Saccharomyces cerevisiae S288C: one gene and its partner. Changing the gene in region 2 together with the main gene of any one other region gives a genetic interaction. Each region holds a gene or a part of one and is shown on either strand. Other genes may lie near its edges.

Evidence for each region. A genetic interaction does not mean that the proteins touch.
Region 1: of BUR6 (region 2) and RTP1, a mutation in one rescues a mutant of the other (synthetic rescue), as found in Saccharomyces cerevisiae (one study listed by BioGRID).

Annotation. Positions count from the first base shown.
Region 1 is NC_001145.3:627,192-633,006, reverse strand, and holds RTP1 (Rtp1p), read right to left. Parts: upstream 3,983-5,815; coding exon 1,037-3,982; downstream 1-1,036. Other genes in the region: Hsp90 family chaperone HSC82, read right to left, coding at 1-652; ADD37 (Add37p), read right to left, coding at 4,222-4,818; SSO2 (syntaxin), read left to right, coding at 5,199-5,815. UniProt on the Saccharomyces cerevisiae protein: Required for the cytoplasmic assembly and the nuclear import of RNA polymerase II. May facilitate the starting interaction between RNA polymerase II subunits RPB2 and RPB3 and the subsequent interaction of the resulting complex with subunit RPB1.
Region 2 is NC_001137.3:490,099-494,889, reverse strand, and holds BUR6 (negative cofactor 2 transcription regulator complex subunit BUR6), read left to right. Parts: upstream 1-2,931; coding exon 2,932-3,360; downstream 3,361-4,791. Other genes in the region: YER158C (uncharacterized protein), read left to right, coding at 4,312-4,791. UniProt on the Saccharomyces cerevisiae protein: Component of the NC2 complex which represses RNA polymerase II transcription through binding to SPT15/TBP and thereby inhibiting the assembly of the preinitiation complex.

The DNA.
Region 1 (5,815 bases), on a different chromosome or scaffold from region 2:
GAACTTCCTTTTCGACTTCCTTGGTGACTAGAAGTTGGATAGGGTAAGCAACGAATTCAGAATGTCTCTTGATGACTTCTTTAATTCTCTTTTCTTCCAAGTACTCCAATTGGTCATCTTTCAAGAATAATCTCAAGACGGTACCTCTACCAATTCTTTCGTTAACTTCGTCCAAAGTAACGGTGAAAGAACCACCGGCATTAGATTCCCAAATATATTGTTCGTCCTCATTGTTCTTGGAAATAACTTGAACTCTGTCGGCGACTAAGAATAAAGAGTAAAAACCAACACCGAATTGACCAATCATGGATACATCGGCACCAGCAGATAGAGCTTCCATGAAAGCTTTAGTACCAGACTTAGCAATGGTACCCAAATTGTTAATCAATTCAGCCTTGGTCATACCAATACCAGAATCTCTGATTTCCAAAACTTTTTCTTCTGGTTTTGGGGTGATTCTAATGAACAAATCTGGTTCGGTTTCCAATTGCTTTGGATCAGACAAAGCTTGGTATCTAATTTTGTCTAAAGCATCGGAGGCGTTAGAGATCAGTTCTCTCAAGAAAATTTCCTTGTTAGAATAGACAGTGTTGATGATCAAACTCATCAACTGAGTGATTTCAGCTTGAAATTCAAAAGTTTCACCAGCCATATTTCAGAATGATTCTATTTTTCTATTGGTTCTGTAGCGTTTCAAGAAAAAGAAAACAAGAGAAAGAATATATCACAAAAAATATAATGCATGTGTTCATGTCACTTACGGTAGGCAGTTCACATGCCACTCTTTTTATACAAATCTCCTCCCTCATTACCCAACGCTTGGTGGAAGTTCGAGAAAACGAGAAAAATTGTTCTTTCACCTTCTAGAAAGAAAAGTGCCCAGAAAACAGAAAGGCGGGTAATAAAATGCATCGGCGGCTATTTTAACTTTCTATTGGTAATGGCTGCTGTTCTATGAATACAAAAAGAAAGAATATAAAAGAACGTAAATATTAATTTTGCCTAAGAAGCAAATTATAATCAAATGCGTAATGGGTTATAAACTATCTAGTACGGTTAAAAGCTTGTCAATCTGTTCACAAACCATGTAATCTTCATCTTGATCACGAACGTAAGATAATAGTGTTTTTAGCTTATCGTAGTTGTACTCAAAGGGAAGTAAATCAAATCCTGTACTGTACAACAAATCATGTATCAAGTGTACGGCACTTCTTCTCATCAAAAAAGAATCATCCTTGTCCTTCAAATGATTTTGTGGTTGTTCTAATTGCAATATTCCAAATACACAATCCAGCATATCGCGAATTCTATCCGAGACACCCCTGGCGTTGATTTGAAGGCACATACCTAAGATTGACATGGATGACATACGCCATCTATTGTCCAATGGTTTACTATCATTTGGCCTCACAATACTAAGACAGGTATCTATAATCAGATAAGCCAATTTACCCTGGAACAATTCGTTCTGACGTTGAATGTAATTGATGAACACTTCTCCAACTTTCAGCACATCATCTAATCTGTTTTTCTTTTTTTTGTTAGCATAAAATTCTGCAAGTAGAGGCAATATGGTTTCTGGCTCTAATTCACATAGCGTTGTAAGTCCTTTAATAACGTTGAGATAAATGAAAGGGTCCATATTCTTTAAATAATCTAAATGTATTTGCAACACCTTTTCCAGTGAAATTACTGGAGACTTCTTTTCAGCTAGATGACGTAGTTCTGTTAAACCATAAGATTTTATGGGCACTAAAGGATCATGTAGACTAGTTATCGCTTTGTCAAGCCTTTCCTCATCCATCTCAATTTCTATGTTGTCGTTCCTTTCCGTAGTATGTCCGTTAATCAATATATTATCTATTGATGCCAATAATGCATCTATTTCGGAAGCATTAGTGTTGAAAGATTGTAATTTTCTAGAAATGGATTTCAATATATAACTGTTTTGCAATAATATACTACTGGACGATTCTGAAAGGACGGTTGATAATAACTGCAAGATAATTTTGTAGGAAGAATTTTCATTTGGATCCAATTCTTCTGTTTCTTCTCCTTCTTCAACTTCGTCGTCAGAATCTGCTTCTACTTCCTGTATTGTTTCATCTTTTTCCTGAACAACATCTATCAATTGATCAATAACAATAAGAACGTCCTTAGGTTTATTAACAATCTTGGTTTTAAATCGGTTGTTCATACATTCCAAAAGTTTCAAGTCCATGAGTATTAACGCGTTATCTGTAACGCTTGGCATCCCGCTATGATTATCGGAAGATCTTTTTTCACTTTTTTTTGTATGATGGACCCATCTTTTCAGAATATCTAAAAATAAAGTCTTTGATTGTTCCTCATCATTTAGCAGCACTAAAAATTCCATAAATAATTCTATCGAAAGGTCCATATCTTGAAGAAACTCAGAAATTTGAGAGTTTTTGGATCCTTTTTCGAAAAACAACTCTGCCATATCTGTGTTTTTAACCGATATGTAGGGTAGCTGAGTATCAAGATCAATTAAATACTTCCATTTCTCGTGCTCAAAATTCAGTAAGTTAAGGCTCAGTACATTTAGATATTGAAAATTTTCTGTTATGACTATTAGAGATTTTAATAATGATAATACAACCTCGTAATACTTTGAGGAAGATTGCTCTGGAAAATGTATGCTGTCTGTGCTTTTATTATCTGAAATAGACAATTTGTTTATTTCTAATGGGTCTAGTTTTTGGTTTTTCTTCAAAAAAAGAGCATATATCCATACATATAAAAAGAACTGTCCAGGCGTAGTACCGTCTTCATCAGGGCAACTAGTAACTAAATCATTCAGCAAATCCGATGAAGAATTTTTGGATAAAGATATAAGAACGTTTATAACATCGTTCAGTTCCTTTGCTGTATGATCAGTTAACGGGGAATTAAAGATAATGGAGCGGACCTTCTTAAACAAAAAATCGTTAACAATCCTCTTATTCCTCAGGTAAAATTTAAGGATTAGTCCGTTCAAACAAGTGACCAGGATAGGCCTGTTCACAAAGGTGAGACCATCATAAATTTGCTTGAATAGTTCCGTCAAGTATTGCAAATTTGTCATTGTTTTTGGCTTACTCATCAAAATTTGGTAGATACGGTTAAACTTTTCAATATCTATATCTTCAGCATCTCTCACACCCAAAACGAAATCAATCAAGCTGATCAGACCATTTTCCGGTCTTCGTAGAGTTAACGTTGTTAACTTCGAAAGGATTGGCTCCCTAACCTTTTCGTCTTGAATTGTTTCTACTAGTAGAGTGTAAACCCCAAACAAAGTATAAGTTTCTTGAGTATCTTCTAGATTTGTAATCATTTGTGAAGAGTACCTATTAGGCAACTGCAAATGTAACACAATCAAACCTAATAAAATGTTTGCGTAAGCACTGCCTTTTGATATTATTTCTCTCAGGTAGTCAGAAGACCTCTCACTAGTTAGAACATTATAAAAGACAGTTATGACTTGAGATAAAGTATCGTTATTTATGGTGTGCCATCGAGGCGTTTCATATTCTGCGCTTTTTTGGCCCTTCTTGAAAGTATTTATTCTTTTCGAATCGAATGGAATTTTCATCGTAGGAGACAAATTAGCATCTATACCATGAATAATCAAAAGATTTATCAGTTCGTCTACGTATTTCATATCATGCAATGAGATAGGCAATAAGTCACTTTTACTTTCGATGAGCCTCCGTTGCTGTTCTAGTACGTGAATGTGCAAATTCTGGAATTTCTGTAAAAGTACTGCAACAAACTCATTGTTATTTGAGCACTTCAACGCCTGATAAATGGAAGAGGATGATGATGAGCCTGAATCAAGAACATATTCGTTTATGGGAGTAATTACATTGTCATCCAGATCTTCGAAGAAAACATCTAGGGCTGTCTTTTTGGTGAGCTTCGGTCTTGTATTCAATATATCGTGTATGTTGATCTTTTGCTCTTTATCCTCATTCATTTTCCAACCTTTTGTTTTTCTTGATCTGATATGACAAGAAGAAACATGAGGCGGTGATGAGCCCTTATTGCTATATGCTGTTCGACGCGATGAGATGATTACATGTTTTTTATTAAATTTCTCAAGCAGACTGCGGGTAACCTTGATTTTTAATTATTCAATAGGAATTCTTTTTTTTTTTAGAAAATAAAATGTTCTGCGTAGTGTACTTCTATTTATAAATATAATAATATTATTGATTAATTAGGCATCGCATTTTCAAAAATTTTTAAGAATGCGGGACACCAATTTGAGATTGTTGTGTCAGTAACCATCCAATGTTTAATGGTTTTCACGGCCATATTTTTGTCTTTTTCATTGAAAATCTGGGATAGTACTGTTTTGGTGTGCTCGTTTTGTAAAATCTTGGTAATGTTTGAATCTAATTTTTTCTTGTAAAATTCCAACTCCTTCGAAGAGAGCTTCGAGCCACACACACAGAGGTCGTTGATCTTAGCCACTAATTCTTCTTTACTGCATAATATCGGCTGGAGCTGTCTATCGCCTTGGTCTTTTACGAGCACACCTTCACAGGCAGATTCTTGTTGAGCAGCAGTTACAGATGGCCTCCTCAAAACTGGTGGCGGCGTAGTAGCTGTTTTAGTGTTCCCATAAAGATCTAACACTTCTGTGGCAAGTCTGCCGCTAACACATCTTTTCGATTTCGTTCTTTGTTTAGATTTGGATCTAGGTCCGCTATTAGGGTCGATAGAAAACAAAACTGTCGGACAGTCGTTATAACCAGGCACTTCAGCTTCTAGACAATTCTGAAAACTTTTGGTTGGTTTAATAGCCATCGTACGTAATAGTATGTGCGGAAATAGATTGACGAAGAACCGACAGATGCGCGTCTACTGAAGCTCTTATGAGTAGCCTGTGTGAATAAAGAAGCCAGCTAAAAGTAAATATGTGGCATCTTTATGTCTTACGAGCCGGGTACCAAGCGGCAGCAAAGGGTCCCCCCTAAACGACGTGCTTATCACCCGGCCGTTGTTTACGAAATGGCCTTTTTTGACGTTTTTAGTTTCAATGGATGGATGAAAAAAGCAAGTAAAATGACAAATAAATGCTGTTGGCAGGTTAAATCGTTTAATATACCCATAAGAGAGCTGGAATAGTGTGGAATTGTAATACTTTACATTTGAAAACTGCCCATACACGCACAAATATTGCAGCAATGAGCAACGCTAATCCTTATGAGAATAACAATCCGTACGCTGAAAACTATGAAATGCAAGAGGACTTGAACAATGCTCCTACTGGTCACTCAGATGGTAGCGACGATTTCGTAGCTTTTATGAACAAGATCAACTCAATAAATGCTAACTTGTCCAGGTACGAAAACATTATCAACCAAATTGATGCGCAACACAAAGACCTACTTACTCAAGTGAGTGAGGAACAGGAGATGGAATTGAGACGTTCTTTGGACGATTACATCTCTCAGGCCACAGATTTGCAGTATCAATTGAAAGCGGATATCAAAGATGCCCAGAGAGACGGATTGCACGACTCTAATAAACAGGCACAAGCTGAAAATTGCAGACAGAAATTCTTAAAATTAATTCAAGACTACAGAATTATCGATTCTAACTACAAAGAAGAAAGCAAAGAGCAGGCGAAGAGACAGTACACAATTATCCAACCGGAAGCCACTGACGAAGAAGTGGAAGCCGCCATCAACGATGTCAATGGCCAGCAGATCTTTTCCCAAGCGTTGCTAAACGCCAATAGACGTGGTGAGGCCAAGACAGCATTGGCCGAAGTACAGGCTAGACATCAAGAGTTGTTGAA
Region 2 (4,791 bases):
CAGACAAGCGAACAGGAGACTGAGAAAAGGATCATACACCGTTCACCTTCGATCGATACTTCCTCATCAGAAAGTAATTCACTACACCACGTCGTTCCTATCAAAACGTCAGATACCTGTCCTAAGGAGAATACAGAGGAATCTATTATCGCTGATCTTCCACTCCCCGATCTGCCTCCAGAACCTCCTACCGAATTATCAGACTCCTTTAAAGAACTCCCACCGATAAATTCTCATCAAACTAATTCCAGTTTGGGTGGTATTGGTGACTCTAATGCCTATACTACTATCAACAGTAAGAAAAGATCATTAGAAGATAATGAAACTGAAATTAAGGTATCACGAGACACATGGAATACTAAGAATATGCGTAGTTTAGAACCTCCGAGATCGAAGAAACGAATTCACCTGATTGCAGCTGTAAAAGCAGTAAAATCAATCAAACCAATACGAACAACCTTACGATACGATGAGGCAATCACCTATAATAAAGATATTAAAGAAAAAGAAAAATATATCCAGGCATACCACAAAGAAGTCAATCAACTGTTGAAGATGAAAACTTGGGACACTGACAGATATTATGACAGAAAAGAAATAGACCCCAAAAGAGTAATAAATTCAATGTTTATCTTTAACAGGAAACGTGACGGTACTCATAAAGCTAGATTTGTTGCAAGAGGTGATATTCAACATCCTGACACTTACGACCCAGGCATGCAATCCAATACCGTACATCACTATGCATTAATGACATCCCTGTCACTTGCATTAGACAATAACTACTATATTACACAATTAGACATATCTTCGGCATATTTGTATGCAGACATCAAAGAAGAACTATACATAAGACCTCCACCACATTTAGGAATGAATGATAAGTTAATACGTTTGAAGAAATCACTTTATGGATTGAAACAAAGTGGAGCGAACTGGTACGAAACTATCAAATCATACCTGATAAAACAGTGTGGTATGGAAGAAGTTCGTGGATGGTCATGCGTATTTAAGAATAGTCAAGTAACAATTTGCTTATTCGTTGATGATATGATATTGTTCAGCAAAGACTTAAATGCAAATAAGAAAATCATAACAACACTCAAGAAACAATACGATACAAAGATAATAAATCTGGGTGAAAGTGATAACGAAATTCAGTACGACATACTTGGCTTAGAAATCAAATATCAAAGAGGTAAATACATGAAATTAGGTATGGAAAACTCATTAACTGAAAAAATACCCAAACTAAACGTACCTTTGAACCCAAAAGGAAGGAAACTTAGCGCTCCAGGTCAACCAGGTCTATATATAGACCAGCAAGAACTAGAGCTAGAAGAAGATGATTACAAAATGAAGGTACATGAAATGCAAAAGCTGATAGGTCTAGCATCATATGTTGGATATAAATTTAGATTTGACCTATTATACTACATCAACACACTTGCACAACATATACTATTTCCGTCCAAGCAAGTGTTAGATATGACATATGAATTGATACAGTTCATATGGAATACGAGAGATAAGCAATTAATATGGCACAAAAGCAAACCTGTTAAGCCAACAAATAAATTAGTTGTTATAAGCGATGCATCGTATGGTAACCAACCGTATTATAAATCACAAATTGGCAACATATATTTACTTAATGGAAAAGTAATTGGAGGAAAGTCCACCAAGGCTTCATTAACATGTACTTCAACTACGGAAGCAGAAATACACGCGATAAGTGAATCTGTCCCATTATTAAATAACCTCAGTCACCTTGTGCAAGAACTTAACAAGAAACCAATTACTAAAGGATTACTAACCGACAGTAAATCTACAATCAGTATAATTATATCCAATAATGAAGAGAAATTTAGAAACAGATTTTTTGGTACTAAAGCAATGAGACTAAGAGATGAAGTATCAGGAAATCATCTGCACGTATGCTATATCGAAACCAAAAAGAATATTGCAGACGTAATGACCAAACCTCTTCCGATAAAAACATTCAAACTATTAACAAACAAATGGATTCATTAGATCTATTACATTATGGGTGGTATGTTGGAATAAAAATCCACTATCGTCTATCAACTAATAGTTATATTATCAATATATTATCATATACGGTGTTAAGATGATGACATAAGTTATGAGAAGCTGTCATCGATGTTAGAGGAAGCTGAAACGCAAGGATTGAAAAACGAACAACATGAGACAAAACCCGTCCTTCCCTAGCTGAACTACCCAAAAGTATAAATGCCTGAACAATTAGTTTAGATCCGAGATTCCGCGCTTCCACCACTTAGTATGATTCATATTTTATATAATATATAAGATAAGTAACATTCCGTGAATTAATCTGATAAACTGTTTTGACAACTGGTTACTTCCCTAAGACTGTTTATATTAGGATTGTCAAGACACTCCGGTATTACTCGAGCCCGTAATACAACACACTGAACATCCTATTCCTCGTGGCCCAATGGTCACGGCGTCTGGCTACGAACCAGAAGATTCCAGGTTCAAGTCCTGGCGGGGAAGGATTATTTTTCTTTTAATCAACTTTTTCGGATATCGTAACCCGGCATCTGTGTTACGTTGTGTGTTTATATTTTTTTAACTGTTCGTGAATTATGACATTCTATAAAAAAGAATCTTTTTGTATTTAAGGAGAAGAATTTTCCAGGCCAAAATTAATTTTTTTTTTTTTTGTCAGGTAGCGTGATATTTCCTATTACCCTTAAAACACATGAATTTGCGAAAGAAAGGGCAATGCACTGAGAAATAAAAAGGCAGGCAAAGAAAAACGTATACAAAAGGGGATTATTTTATTTTGGGGCATTAAAACCAAAAACGGAAAAAAAAGCACGTCACGAAAATAAAAATTCAAAAAAAAAAATAAAACCAGTTACAGTACTCATCACTACATTCTTAATGGCAGATCAAGTACCAGTTACAACACAACTACCACCAATAAAACCTGAACATGAGGTACCACTTGATGCTGGAGGGAGTCCAGTAGGTAACATGGGTACCAACTCGAATAACAACAACGAGCTAGGTGATGTATTCGACAGAATAAAGACACACTTCCCTCCGGCCAAGGTAAAGAAAATAATGCAGACAGACGAGGATATAGGAAAAGTTTCACAAGCCACGCCCGTAATAGCGGGCAGGTCCCTAGAGTTTTTTATAGCGTTATTGGTGAAAAAAAGCGGGGAGATGGCAAGAGGACAAGGAACCAAGAGAATAACCGCCGAAATACTAAAAAAAACAATTTTAAACGACGAAAAATTCGATTTCTTAAGGGAAGGTCTATGCGTAGAAGAAGGCCAAACACAACCGGAGGAAGAGAGTGCCTGAGCAGAACGGGGCGATGTAACTTAGTGTAAAATGAATACCACATCTATATATATCCATATACCAATGTATTTATATCTATATATGTCTGCACATATATATTATACTCTATTATCAAGGACGAAACGTAATCACATATGTATCAACGACAACCGGCGCCTCATGTAATCTGTACCTTTCTCTACAGTTACATAGCATGAGTATGTGTATTCCTATTTAGGAAAAAATTAACGCTATTCTTAAGGTTTACGAAAGAGCATGCATCACCCCATACGATCCCCGGAGTAACTCCCGCAGGTGGGTGTGCGGGCGCTCAGCCTGCTATACGATTTAGAAACGAGGCGCTGCGTTACCGTCTGTGACTTCTTAAATAAGATTTTTAGGTGTCCCATCCTTCCAACTGTGCCTACACCAGAAAGACAAAAAGAAAGGAGGAAAAAGAAAAGCTAATTTTTTCTTTCAAGTGCCAAAGGAAGCGGACGAAGGGCTAGCTCGAGGATTCTTGCAGCAACGGAGGAAGGAGTGTGAAAAATCGTTAAGGTTCTCGCGGTTTGCACCGCGTTGCGTTCGAGACACCAAAGAAATGTATACTTGCAGATTGTGCTGATATGCTAGTTTAAGCCCAAGCGGTCTGGTTGTTGGCTTCTTGCTTCTGATAATTACTTAATATTAATACCTCAAAATTACGCACTTGGAAATATAATACAGGCGTACTCCTTTTGTATTTGTCTTTCATCTGCACTTGACTTCAGCTTTCTTTACTACTGCTCTATATACAGTAATCTGTTTACACTCATCATCAAATAACTGAAGGAGAGCTACGGCAAAATACTTGTTTATTGTCATATTATTGCTATTGTTGTTTTTTCCGTGCTGACACAATAGGATTCATTTTACCAGGCTAAACACATAGCCACCACCGCTCGCTACTACTTCCACTCACTCTTAATCAGCATGTTACAGCAGGGTTCTTCCTCGAGGAGGAGTTTGCATGGTAATGATTTTCACACGCTCACTTCTCCTTCAAGGAGAGACTCTTTGAGTATTCCTAGGGCTGTGGACGCTAGATCTGCGTCTACGATTGATCTGTTCTACATACCGGATGCTACCGTCTCAAGGAGGCACTCTACTCTGGTGGCTAATAGATCAGACAATAATGGTAATGGCGCACCGATGCGCCAGTACAATAAACCTAACTTTGCTTCCTCCTCGACTTCATCTCTGCCTTCAACTAGAAATCGCCCCTCTCGCTACGATAACATGAATATGAATATGAATATGAATATGAACATGAACATGAACATGAACATGAACATGAACAACCATACTACCAGTGATCACAATGCGCACCCGCAATATCGTTGTAGACCAAACCCGTCCAGACGCCACTCCTTAATGACCATTCCCGAAAAGTACTCTGGTAGTCGCTACAGT